3 linked regions of the Ovis aries genome follow. The protein of the gene in region 1 interacts with the protein of each later gene in a biochemical or structural test. Links are inferred from orthologs where the notes say so. Each region holds a gene or a part of one and is shown on either strand. Other genes may lie near its edges.

Evidence for each region.
Region 2: the proteins of FGF9 (region 1) and FGFR3 form a complex in vitro, tested with the Homo sapiens proteins (3 studies listed by BioGRID and IntAct, with this or other methods). The link is inferred for Ovis aries from reciprocal best matches to the Homo sapiens genes FGF9 and FGFR3.
Region 3: the proteins of FGF9 (region 1) and FGFR1 interact in a biophysical measurement, tested with the Homo sapiens proteins (2 studies listed by BioGRID and IntAct, with this or other methods). The link is inferred for Ovis aries from reciprocal best matches to the Homo sapiens genes FGF9 and FGFR1.

What each region holds. Positions count from the first base shown.
Region 1 is NC_056063.1:35,651,320-35,655,630, reverse strand, and holds the start of FGF9 (fibroblast growth factor 9), read left to right. Parts: upstream 1-1,429; 5' UTR 1,430-1,821; coding exon 1,822-2,098; intron 2,099-4,311.
Region 2 is NC_056059.1:117,455,768-117,459,407, reverse strand, and holds part of FGFR3 (fibroblast growth factor receptor 3), read left to right. Parts: intron 1-481; coding exon 482-654; intron 655-778; coding exon 779-902; intron 903-983; coding exon 984-1,174; intron 1,175-1,781; coding exon 1,782-1,932; intron 1,933-2,606; coding exon of another isoform or gene 2,607-2,751; intron 2,752-3,218; coding exon 3,219-3,409; intron 3,410-3,640.
Region 3 is NC_056079.1:32,638,912-32,642,551, forward strand, and holds part of FGFR1 (fibroblast growth factor receptor 1), read right to left. Parts: coding exon 3,522-3,640; intron 3,360-3,521; coding exon 3,254-3,359; intron 3,122-3,253; coding exon 2,945-3,121; 3' UTR 1-2,944. UniProt on the Homo sapiens protein: Tyrosine-protein kinase that acts as a cell-surface receptor for fibroblast growth factors and plays an essential role in the regulation of embryonic development, cell proliferation, differentiation and migration.

The sequences.
Region 1 (4,311 bases):
CGGCTCCCTGGCAGCTCGGGCGCCGGATTTCTTTGTCCCAAGCCCGGGGTTGGGCGCGAGGGACGCCGGCCGCGAGCAGAACCGAGCCCCGGGCTCGGGGCTCCGACTTCCACGTGCGTCCCGCGGGTTTAGAGCAGGAAGCAGCGTCCGCGACCCTTGGGCGCTCCCCGCACCGGGCTCCCTCAGCTCGGCGGCGGCTTCGGGGCCGCGAGGGACCCGGGGCCCTCGGCTTTCTCATCCCCCGAGGGCGGGTCCAGCTCGCCCCTCGGAGCGCGGTCCAGGGTTCCAGGGTAGGGGGAGCCCCCGGCGCGCGCTCCTGCACCCGGACTCTCCGCAGACGCAGGCGAGCTCGCGGAGCGAGGCGGTGCTCGGGCGCCCCCTCACCCAAGCCCGCCGCGCCGCGGGGCGGGACCTAAACGCAGCGCCGGCTTGTGAGACGCCGGGAGAGCCCCGAACCCGGCCAGGAGCGGCCACTGCGGCCGGTGTGCGCGCGTGGGAGGGGGCTGGGCGCACATTCCCCCGCCCCCGCCTCACCGGTCCCACCTGCCGCGCCGCTTGCTCCTGTCTGCAGGAGAGATGAGAGCGCAACTGTGGGGTCCGTTCAAGCTCATTAAATCAGCCCCCTTCACTCCAACTCTTAGCTAAGTTTTATTTAACTCAAAGCAGCCCCCGAGCCCCAAGTGGGAAAACTAGTTCTCCCGATTCAGTCTGCACCTCCGCCGCCGCAGCGAACGAGGGGTTAGCTTCGTGGCTGCGACTCCGCGTGAGCGACGCGGCCGCAGAGGCCCAGGGGCCCGCGGTCTCGCGCCTCCTTTGTGCGACCGGAGGCTCGGGGCGTCCCCTGGTCCCCGCGCTCCGGCGCGCGGCGCGGGGCCTGCCGCAACGCGGAGGGCGAGGCGGGCGCTAGGACCGCGGGGAGCGCGGGCGGCGCGGCGCTACCTTAAACCCGGCCCAATGCCGCCGCCTGCGCCACTCTGCGCGCCGCGGGGCTGCGCAGGAGGAGCGCTCCGGCCACCTCGCCCCGCGCCCCGGCGACACCTGTTCGCGGCCGCCGGCGGCACGCGGGTCCTGCCGCGGCGCCCCTCGCTCCCGCCGCCGCCGCCGCCGCCCGCCGCCCGCGCCCGGCCGATGGACGCCAGCCGAGCCCCCGGAGGACTCTGGACACCAGCCTTGGACGCCTAAAGTTTTCCCTTCTTTTTGTTTTATTATCATCCTTCTCATTTTTGGAGGAGGGGACGGGGCTGCAGATTCGTCGCCGCCACCAACGTGAGATTTTTTTTTTTCCTCCCTTGAAGGATTCCTGCTGATGTCTGCAGAGTCGGTTAGAGTAAAAACAGCGCATGCCTTCCTGGAGTCAGGATCCGTAAATTCTGACGTAGCCCGTGCATCTTAAAAACCCCTATAATAACGCCTAGGCATTTAAGTTGCTATGGTCATTCTGGTCGCAAGCCTAATGGAGAAACTCCGGATTTTTTTCCCTCCCTACGGTCGGATGAGATGAAGACCTGCGTGCCTGCCGAGAGCTGGGGATCTGTGTGTAGAGATACATAGATACGTTTATCAATATGTCAGTGTGCGAGTATAAAGTGGTGCTTGCTTAGACTATCCGCGGTTTGACCTTGAACCTGAGCCAGCGAAACGGCAGGTTACTTTTATTGATGCATTTCATGGATTGAAGAAAAGGACCTTTTTTCTTTTTCTTTTCTTCTCTCTGCAACTGCAGTGAGGGACGGGAGTTGGATTTACCTCGCCGAGTACCTCCTGGGTTGGCACCATCATCATTGTTTATCGCTGTGCTCGGAACGCCTGCCGACTCTGCCGATGGCTCCCCTGGGTGAAGTTGGGAACTATTTCGGCGTGCAGGATGCGGTGCCGTTCGGGAACGGGCCGGTGTTGCCGGTGGACAGCCCGGTCTTGCTAAGTGACCACCTGGGTCAGTCCGAAGCAGGGGGGCTTCCCAGGGGACCCGCGGTCACGGACTTGGATCACTTAAAGGGGATTCTCAGGCGGAGGCAGCTGTACTGCAGGACTGGATTTCACTTAGAAATCTTCCCCAACGGTACTATCCAGGGAACCAGGAAGGACCACAGCCGGTTCGGTAGGTGCACCGTTAACCCTTGAGGGCCCGAGCTGGCAGGCTCGGACCGCAGCTACCCAGAAGGCGGCCGGGCGCGGGCGGGGGATGAGGGAAGGGGTCTGCGGGAAGGGGTCTGCGGGAAGGGGTCTGCGGGAAGGGGTCTGCCTCCCTTGGTCTCGGACTGATTCGGTCTCATTAACTCCAGGGGAGAAAAAAGCCTCCGGAATTGCAGACCTGCCGCTGGCACTGATGCGGGTCTACACTGGAAGGCTTTTTTTTTTTTAAAGGAGGGCATGATTTATAAATATAACACATACCCCTAGTTCTTTTGCATCATATAGGCCGGCAAGATCGGGTTTAGGAAGTTTCTTTTGAATGGAGTGATTCCACGAGTTTCAAGCTTTAATCATTAACTACGGAGAACTTAAAATGCATTTTGCTCAAGGCAATGCTTACCATCTCGTGCCAAATGAAGTTTTTGCCCCTTCCCTTTATTCCTCCAAAAAGTGTCCTGCTTAAATTGTAAATGAAGCGTATTGCTGATTCCCACCGAGTGGGACTGGGGCGCTTTAGGCGAAGGTTGCAGATTGTTCCGTGGGAGGAGAGACTCAAGTCGTATTTCAGACTCCGGGGCTGCAGGGGCAGGGCGCAGGGGGGTTGGGGGACGGACTCGGGCAGGGGCAGGGCCCTGTCTAGGGTCGTTTGTCCTTCCAGCCATCGACTTATGCCCTGTGCTGTCTAGTTCCCACCACGCGCAGCCCTGTGTAGGATTCCTGGGTGCCTCTGGTGTGCGGGTGTGCATGTGTGCGCGCATGCAAAAGCGGCGAGCTAATTTTAAAGGGCATTCCTAGGGCTTCATCTCCGGAGGAGGGTGTCTGTGACTCAGCACGAGGGCTGCAGACCCCGGAGGCTGGAGACCGTCCGCTCTAATGACTGCACACACGTGCCCGCTGAGCCGCCGGGCCCGACGGCAGCGCCCCGGGGGTGGTGGGTGGAGGGGCTTCTCCTGGTTTTTTTTCCCCCCATACTTACAAAATAAAGCTGGGGGTGGGGTGGGGGAGGTGGCGGTGTTTGGGCAACCGGACTGTTGGAAGGAGTTAACTTATTGAGCGAACCCCTCTGACAACTTAAACTAGGTCGTAAAAGCAAAGTCCTGTGGTGCTTTCTGTTCGTCAAGCTTCACGCCAGATGCTGAGCACGGTCTCAACTGTCCGTGTAGCTCGTGGGCTGCAGACGATGGCCGACGTGAGGCCGGCCCGGGCCTGAGATGGGCCGGCCCCGGGGTTTCCTGCCTCTGTCCTCCCTCTCCGAGCCTCGGCCCGGAGGGACCCACCAGGGAGACGGCTCAGGGTCCCCCCCCGCCCAGCTCCCGCGGCCCCGTCCGTTTTGCAGTCTCCAGTTACCCAGAGGAAGCTCGAGAAGTGGAGGCGGCTCCGGCCGCTGCGGAACGAGGACGAAACTTCGCACAAGCGCTCACCTCGGCCGCCCCCAGGCCGCCAGCGCTCGCGCCGCGCTCCGGACCAGGGCGGGCGGCCGGGTGCGTGGACGTCGCGCCCAGCCCGGGCCCCCGCGCGCCGGCCGGCAGGTGCCACTCGGCTGCCCGGGCCCCGCGCGCACTCGGCTGCCGCCGGCCTGCTCCGCGCGGTCCTAGACGCGCTCGGGTTCGGCGGCTCGCCCCCGCCCCGCGCGTCCTGGGCTGCTGGGACCGCCGAGTCCGGGGCGCCGGGCCCGGGCGCACTCCGGCCGCATTTAGGGATCGGGCTCCTTGAGCCCGGGGCCGCGTCACTTCGCGCTCGCGGCGTGAGAACGCAGGTCCAGCGGATCGGGCCGCCGCCGGGAGCAGCGTGGCCGCGCGTGGGGCGGGAGCCGCCGGAGGCGCGCGCGGCGGGGCCGAGGCCCCGGAGTCCAGTCCCGTCTCGGACCCCTCTCCGTCCTTCGGAGCGCACAGCCGGGTCCCGGAGCGGTGGGCTCGCGGCGCCGGAGGTGGGTCGGGCCGGCCGGCAGGGCCGGGGCCGCGGGGTAGAGAGAGGGGACAAAGGGCGGCATAGGCAGGGGGCCGCGTGCCATTGTTGCGGACCCGCCGTCCCTCTCCGCCTGGGGAGCCCGCCGTGGGCTCCCGCTTGCGGCCGGCGACCTCCGGTGCGGAGCAGCCGAGCCCGCCCGGGGAGACCGGGAGGCTCCGCTTGGGGCTTCTCCTCCTCTCCGTGCGCTTTTTTTTTTGTTTGTTTTTTAAA
Region 2 (3,640 bases), on another chromosome or scaffold:
GGTGGGGAGCAGGGCCTTCTGACGTCCTATCACCCATGGGGCAGAGTGTGGCCTGGGGTCTGGCAGAAGCCCGCGGGCTCCTGGCCGGCCTCAAGGCTCTGGGTTCTCTGGGTGGCTAGGGGCGGTGCCCATCCATCGAGCTGGGCATCCTCACCCGGTGTGCCCTGGTCCCTGTGCCAGTTGGCAGCCCGCCCCTGATGGGCCCGCCTGGGTGGGTGGTGATCCTGAGACGTCTCTGCGTCCTGGGTCACAGTGCGGCGCCCTGGACCCCCCGACTGGAGCTGGTGTTTGAGGAGGGTGAGGGGACCTGGCTTTGGGCGTGCCCGGAGGTGGCATTCAGGCTACTGGAAGCTCGTCCAGCCCTGGGAGGGGGTCTTCAAAAGGCTGACATCCCCTCCGCAGGCGGGAAGCGGGCTGGAGAGGCACAGGCAAGCCCCTACCCACCCCAGCCTGTCACAGCCTTCCCTCCCTCCCCGGACAGCAGGGGCCCCTTACTGGACGCGGCCCGAGCGGATGGACAAGAAGCTGCTAGCGGTGCCGGCCGCCAACACGGTTCGCTTCCGCTGCCCGGCTGCCGGCAACCCCACGCCATCCATCACCTGGCTGAAGAACGGCAAGGAGTTCCGGGGCGAGCACCGCATCGGAGGGATCAAGGTGGGGGAGGAATCAAGGTGGGGGAGGAATCAAGGTGGGCCCGCGGCGGGTGGGGGTGCGGGGCGGGGCCAGGCGGCGCTCAGACCAGCTAACCCACCGTCCACTCACCCGAGTCCACCCGCAGCTGCGGCACCAGCAGTGGAGCCTGGTCATGGAGAGCGTGGTGCCCTCGGACCGCGGCAACTACACGTGCGTCGTGGAGAACAAGTTTGGCAGAATCCAGCAGACCTACACCCTGGACGTGCTGGGTGAGGCCCGGGGCGCGGGGGCCGGGGCGGGGCCGGGCGGCGCTCAGACCAGCAGCCTCTGAAGCCCTCCCCGCCCCGCAGAGCGCTCTCCGCACCGGCCCATCCTCCAGGCGGGGCTGCCCGCCAACCAGACCGCCGTGCTGGGCAGCGACGTGGAGTTCCACTGCAAGGTGTACAGCGATGCCCAGCCCCACATCCAGTGGCTCAAGCACGTGGAGGTGAACGGCAGCAAGGTGGGGCCCGACGGCACGCCCTACGTCACCGTGCTCAAGGTGGGCGCCACCGCCGGCCGGCCGCGCGGGGAGGCCTTTCGGGCTGGGCCTTGGGGGAGACGCAGCGGGGTCGGTCTGGGGGCGGGGTCTGTCCGCGTTGGCCTGCAGACCCGGAGCGGGGCTCTGCCAGCCCTGGCGCCTCCCTGGGCCCTCAGGGCAGGAATGTGTTCCCACGGCCCCAGGGTTGGGGGCCACCCGAGCTGGGGCGATTGCGACATTTGCTGCCCAAAGAGAAACATCTGTTAAGGCACACGATGGGGCTGAGGGGCGGGATCGGGAGTACAGACTTGGGGCGGGGCAGTACCCGGAGCTCTCAGGCCTGGCAGCGTTGGGGCGGGGACCCCAGAGGTGGGTGGCCTGAGCGCCCTGAGGAGGATCTCTCTGAGGGTTAGCGGGCGGCGGGGGTGCATGATGGGCAGCTGTGTCCAGTGTGAGCACAGCGGCCGCCGTGAGGTGTCTCCATGCCTCCTCCAGGCAGCCCTCCTGGCTGGTGCCGCCTGGTCTGCCCACCCGTTCCTCGGGGTTGGGCGAGGGCCAGCTCCTTGGCAGTCACGCCCGTGTGTCCGGCGGGGCCCCTGCGCCTGAGCCGGGTCTCTTGTCCCCGCAGTCGTGGATCAGTGAGAGTGCGGAGGCCGACGCGCGCCTCCGCCTGGCCAATGTGTCCGAGCGTGACGGGGGCGAGTACCTCTGTCGAGCCTCCAATTTCATAGGCGTGGCTGAGAAGGCCTTTTGGCTGCGTGTTCACGGGCCCCCAGCAGGTAACAGCTCTGTCCCACGCCTGCCTGGCACGCCGAGCTCCAGCTCTGATGCCCTGGCCCTGTGCCCACCCGCACGCCCCGCCACTCCCGCCCCACGACCCTGGCTCACACTGCCCCTGGCGTGGCCGCCTCTGCACCTTGACCCCCCGGCCTCCGTTGTGACTGCCTGCTCTGATCCCCCACGGCCTGCGCTGACCCACCCGCACCTTGTGTGTGCCCCCCGATGCCCTTGCCCTGGGGCCGAGCCTGAGCGCCCGCCTTCAGCTGCTCTAGCACTCGCGCCGTCTCTCTCTGTCTGTCCATCTCTCTGTCCCCTCCTCTCTGGCCCCGGCTCCCACAGCTGCTCACTTTTGCCTGGCCTTGTTGCCTCCCTCCCTGCCCCCCTGGCTCCCCCGCCTGCCCCTTTCCCCCGGTGCACGCTCACCCTGCCTGCTGCGCTGACAGCCAACACGTCTGGCTCACCTGGGACAGAGGACTCGCCGGTGGAGGGACTGGCTTCGGGCTCAGTGTGGACGCGCGGGGCAGAGGCCACTGGGCCGCGGTGGCGGCGGTCGCGGTGGTGGCGGCGGCGTTTTCCTTGCAGCCTGGCCGGAGCGGCGCCGAGTGGACTCTGGCTGCGGTGCCCGTGGGCTGCTCTTGGTGCTCTGCTATCGCGCTGTGTTCTCTCTTTGTAGACGGCGGGCGCTAACACCACCGACAAGGAGCTAGAGGTTCTGTCCTTGCGCAATGTCACCTTTGAGGACGCGGGGGAGTACACGTGTCTGGCGGGCAATTCTATCGGGTTTTCCCATCACTCTGCGTGGCTGGTGGTGCTGCCAGGTATCGGCTTCTGCCGCTCTCGCTCTGTCCTCTTGGGGCTCGGGATGCGCCAGTGCCGCTGGGGAGGCCAGGGGACTGCAGAGCCCTCCAGCCAGGTTCCGCACCCGGCCTGCAGGCAAAGTCCGCTCGGCCCTGTCTCGGGCCAGACAGGCCTCCCCCCGATAGTGCCCCGGGCCAGCGGGGTCCCTGGCAGCTGATGGGATGGTGCTGGCGCCTCCCGGGTGGCGGGTGAGGGTGCTGCTGGCTCTGCTGGGCTCTCTTCTTTCCTGGGTCTGTCTACGCTTCTTGTGGCCTGCGCACTTCTGGCTGCTGAAGACTCAACGAGGCCTTGGCACTCCCCCCAACCCCACCGGGGGCGGGGTCTGTACCCGGTCCTGGGCCCCCCACCGTGCCCGTGGCTCCGGCTTGGGGCAGTGCGCGGGCTCCCGCGACGCTGGGCTAGGCCGCTGACACCTGTGTCTTTGCAGCCGAGGAGGAGCTGGTGGAAGCTGGTGAGGCTGGCAGTGTGTTCGCGGGCGTCCTCAGCTACGGGCTGGGCTTCCTCCTCTTCATCCTGGCTGTGGCCGCCGTTACGCTCTACCGCCTGCGGAGCCCCCCCAAGAAGGGCCTGGGCTCGCCCGCGGTGCACAAGGTCTCCCGCTTCCCGCTCAAGCGACAGGTAACAGAAAGTAGATACCAGGTTCCGAGCCCGCCCGTGCCCTTGCCCGGCCCGCTGCCCTGACCCCTGAGTGTGTCCTGTCTGCAAAGTCTGAGGACATCAGGGTGTGGGCTGAGCCCTCCCCGGTTTGCACAGTCACCCCGTAGAGCTGGGTTACTCCGGGGCAAAATATGTTAAAAACCTCCATTTAGCACTACAGGGGCAGAAGTCAGGTCCCTCTTGGGCATGTGG
Region 3 (3,640 bases), on another chromosome or scaffold:
AAATGTCATTTCCACGCGCCAGGACAGACATCTGGGAGGCAGTGTAGCGTAAATGGCCCTAAATACTGTTAAGTGCCAACCTAGAGAGAACTTGCCCCAGTGCTTGGGTCCCTGCCCACCTGCCTCCCAACAGCTGAGTGGAAGCCTGTCTCCTTGCCCTGCTCTCTACTCTTCCCCACAAATGCATCTTCTGTGGCTGCACCAGCTGCTAATAATCTCACCGAGTATAATTTTAGGCATTTTCTAAAGCCCAACCCCGGTGGTGATGTCAGACTTGGCCCATCTCACACCCTGAGAATTCTGCTTCAACAGAAAGGTGTTGGTGGCTTGGCACGTATGGACCTGCACCTGTGCTGTGACTAATTCTGTGTTTCAGTCATTACAGGTCGCAACGGTGATATCGAATAAATGCTCTATAGTGTTAAAACCTAAAGATCTCCTTGTCACCACCAGTGCACACCAGTAGGTAGGGTCAGACTAACGGAACTTTAACGCTGATCGACACCTTCCTTTTGCCCAGGGTTCTGGCCCGCTGGCTCCCCCCAGTGGCGGCTGTGAGAAACACAGCGACTTCACTGTCATGGAGATAAATTTCCTTCAGCCATGATTCAATCTTACTTACCTGAGATCAATATAGTACATTAGCGGTGCCGGGGGACTGGTGACCCCTGGCCTGTGGCAATTAGAAAGGGTGGGAAGGTGGTATCGACCGATGCTCCGGCCCTCATCTTTTAACCCTCAGGAAACCAGACAGACTCAGTGCCTTGACAGGATGACATCTTCATTAGATAAACTGGATCTCTTTCCTCAAGAGACCCAATCTGGTCAGCTAAGTAAAATGGCCATTTCATTTTCTCTCAGGTCAATTTCACTATCTTTGATTTGACAGCTCAGTCTCTCGGGAAATTCATGGGTGATTAGAGTAGTAATAGCAAGGACATCACTGTTACAGCAACAGTGAGCTGTGTCCCACTGCCTCTACTGAAGGCACGCAAAGCCCTTTGTGAAAGAGTGACCATCCATTCACACGACCCTGGGCCCAAACTATCATCAGTATTTTACAAGGAAAGGTGCCACTACAAGCTGTCCCACAAATGGTTTTAAAAGCTAAAGTTCATTTCCTGATTCTGTTCTTCACTAGTATATGCCCTCCTTAAACGTGAACACATATCAGAGTATGTTGATAGTTGCATATTCACAGAGCTACTCAGCAGAAAACAGAACTTTATAATGAGCCAACACTAGAAGGGGCCAAGAAACAGCTCAGAAAGGAAACTTCAGGAGCAACCCCATTCTTCCCAAACGAAACTGGACTTGCTTTTATACTTAGAAGGGATCCGGCAAAGGGCAAGCTTTGGGGGCAGAGGCTGTGAACCAACAGCCTGAGCCCTAAGGTTCCAAGGAGCCGGCACCTACTTGGTGGGGGGAGAGATAACCAGCAGGTGGCAGAGGAAGAAAATTCCCCAGCAGCCAAAATGCACCTTCACAGAATGTCTTCCTTTTCCTTAGGGCTGGGGTAGAGTTCCTGTGGGAAGAACTGGAGGAGGCCAAGTGCTAGCCCTAGCACACGCGGTCTGATCACTCGAATTCAGAATGGTATTGGCGGGGGTGGGGGTAGGTAGGCAGAATAGCCTGGGAGACAAGAAACCTGAAGCCAGGGCCCTGGGTGTAAAGCTGGTCTTAGGTAACAGGTCCTCCCTGACACAGAAGCACAGGCAGAACCATACCCACACAGAGGAGCAGCCACTCTCCTAGGTCTGAGTACCTGCCGCCCAGGGTCAAACCATCCATGACCTGCCTCTTCATCACTTCAGCCCCACTCCTGGCTCTTCGGAGCTGGGCCCTCAGCTCCCTGTCTGACTCTCAGACCCCAGAGGCTCCACATTCCCCCCAGGGAAACGTATGGTGGAGGGGGCGGTGGGGCCTGGCCCTGGGCCCAGTGACCCCTACCTGCCTTCTTTCCCAAGGCCCGGCAGAGGAAGGAGGGCTGTCCTGAGGCCTCGGAGAAGGACCCATGGGGAAGAGACCTTGGGACAGCCAGCCCCAGAGCCCGGCAGCCTCGCTCCTTCACAGTCGGCCTCCTCTCCCGTGTCACACAGCCCGTATAAAATTGAAGCAGCAGCAATTTTTATTGAGGGACCTAAACTGAAAATAGGTTTAGAACATAATTTAAAAAAATAAAACAGCAAAAGTAGCAAAAAATATATGACCTTTTTAAAAACATTTTCTTTTTTTTTTTTTTTTTTAATATATAGCAACTGATGCCTCCCAACCACCAGGAGCATCTTACCCAATGGGTAAATCTCTGGTAACGACCCTTTTAAAAAGACATGTAAATATATACTCAGATTTATACACTTTGTGTTTTCTTCGTAGCTATGTACAGAGCCCCTGCTTTGGGGCTGGGCCCCAGGGCCACGCCGCCGGCTCCCGGCCTCTGCGTCCCCACCCTCGGGTACCAGGTATTTGGTCATAAAAGCAAATTAGTATCGGAATCAATAAGCCACTGGCACTATCCGTCTGGAACAGAGGTCGCCTTCTGCGGAGGCCCGAGCGCTGACCACCTCTACACGCAACTCCCGCTGTAGCCCGAGGACCTGCCACCAAAACACGGGCACATGGGCTGTGCAGAGCAGGCAAAACCAATGCAGGAGAGCTAAGTCGGCTCTCGCTCGAGGGCGGCTCGGCCCCCACTGCCCGACCCTCCAGGCGGCAGTGGGGGGGTCTTGGTCCAACGTTTGGCAGGCCACGTAGTAGCCGTCAGCAAGGACCGGCCTCCCTGCTCCTCTGTCAGGCTGTGAGGAGGAGAGGAGGGGAGCTCGGGCGTGCGGGCCTCAGGGAGGCCGGCCAGCAGAGCGCAGGGGAGGCAGCGAGTCCAGCGGGAGGAGGGGCGGGGCCACAGTTGAGGATGGAGTCCGGGGAGGGGTGCGGGGTATGGGGCCAGTCAGCGCCGTTTGAGTCCGCCGTTGGCCAGCTGGGCCTGGTGTCGGGGCAGGCAGGGTTCCTCGGGCAAGGGCTCGTGAGAGAAGACGGAATCCTCCCCGGAGGAGCAGGTGGAGCTTCGGGTGTCGGGGAAGCTGGGGGAATATTGGTCCAGGGGCATTGACAGGTCCAGGTACTCCTGAGGGCGGAGACAAAAAGATGCAAGACCCGCACTCTGCTTCCCGCGGCGGTAGGATTCATTCCGCGAGAACTAGAATCCCGCGAGAATTCGGGCCGGTCGGCACACAGGATCTGGGAAGGGCCGCCTCACCTGGTTGGAGGTCAAGGCCACGATGCGGTCCAGGTCTTCCACCAGCTGCTTGAAGGTGGGTCTCTGAGAGGGGACTGCGTGCCAGCAGTCTCTCATCATCATGTAGCTGGGGCAGGATGGCGAGGTCGGGGTGGGGGGAGAGGACAGGCTCAGGGTGGATGGGCCGCGGGCGGCTGGCTGCGCGCCTCCTACTCCTCCCTCTACGCCCCGAGCCCAGCCCACCCCCAGGGCCCAGCCCAGGACCCCAGGCATCTTTTCTCAGGCTTACAGCTCGTTGGTGCAGTTACTGGGCTTGTCCATACGATGACCCTCCTTCAGCAGCTTGAAAAGCTCCTCCACGGGGACCCCAGGGTATGGGGAGCCGCCCAGAGTGAAGATTTCCCAGAG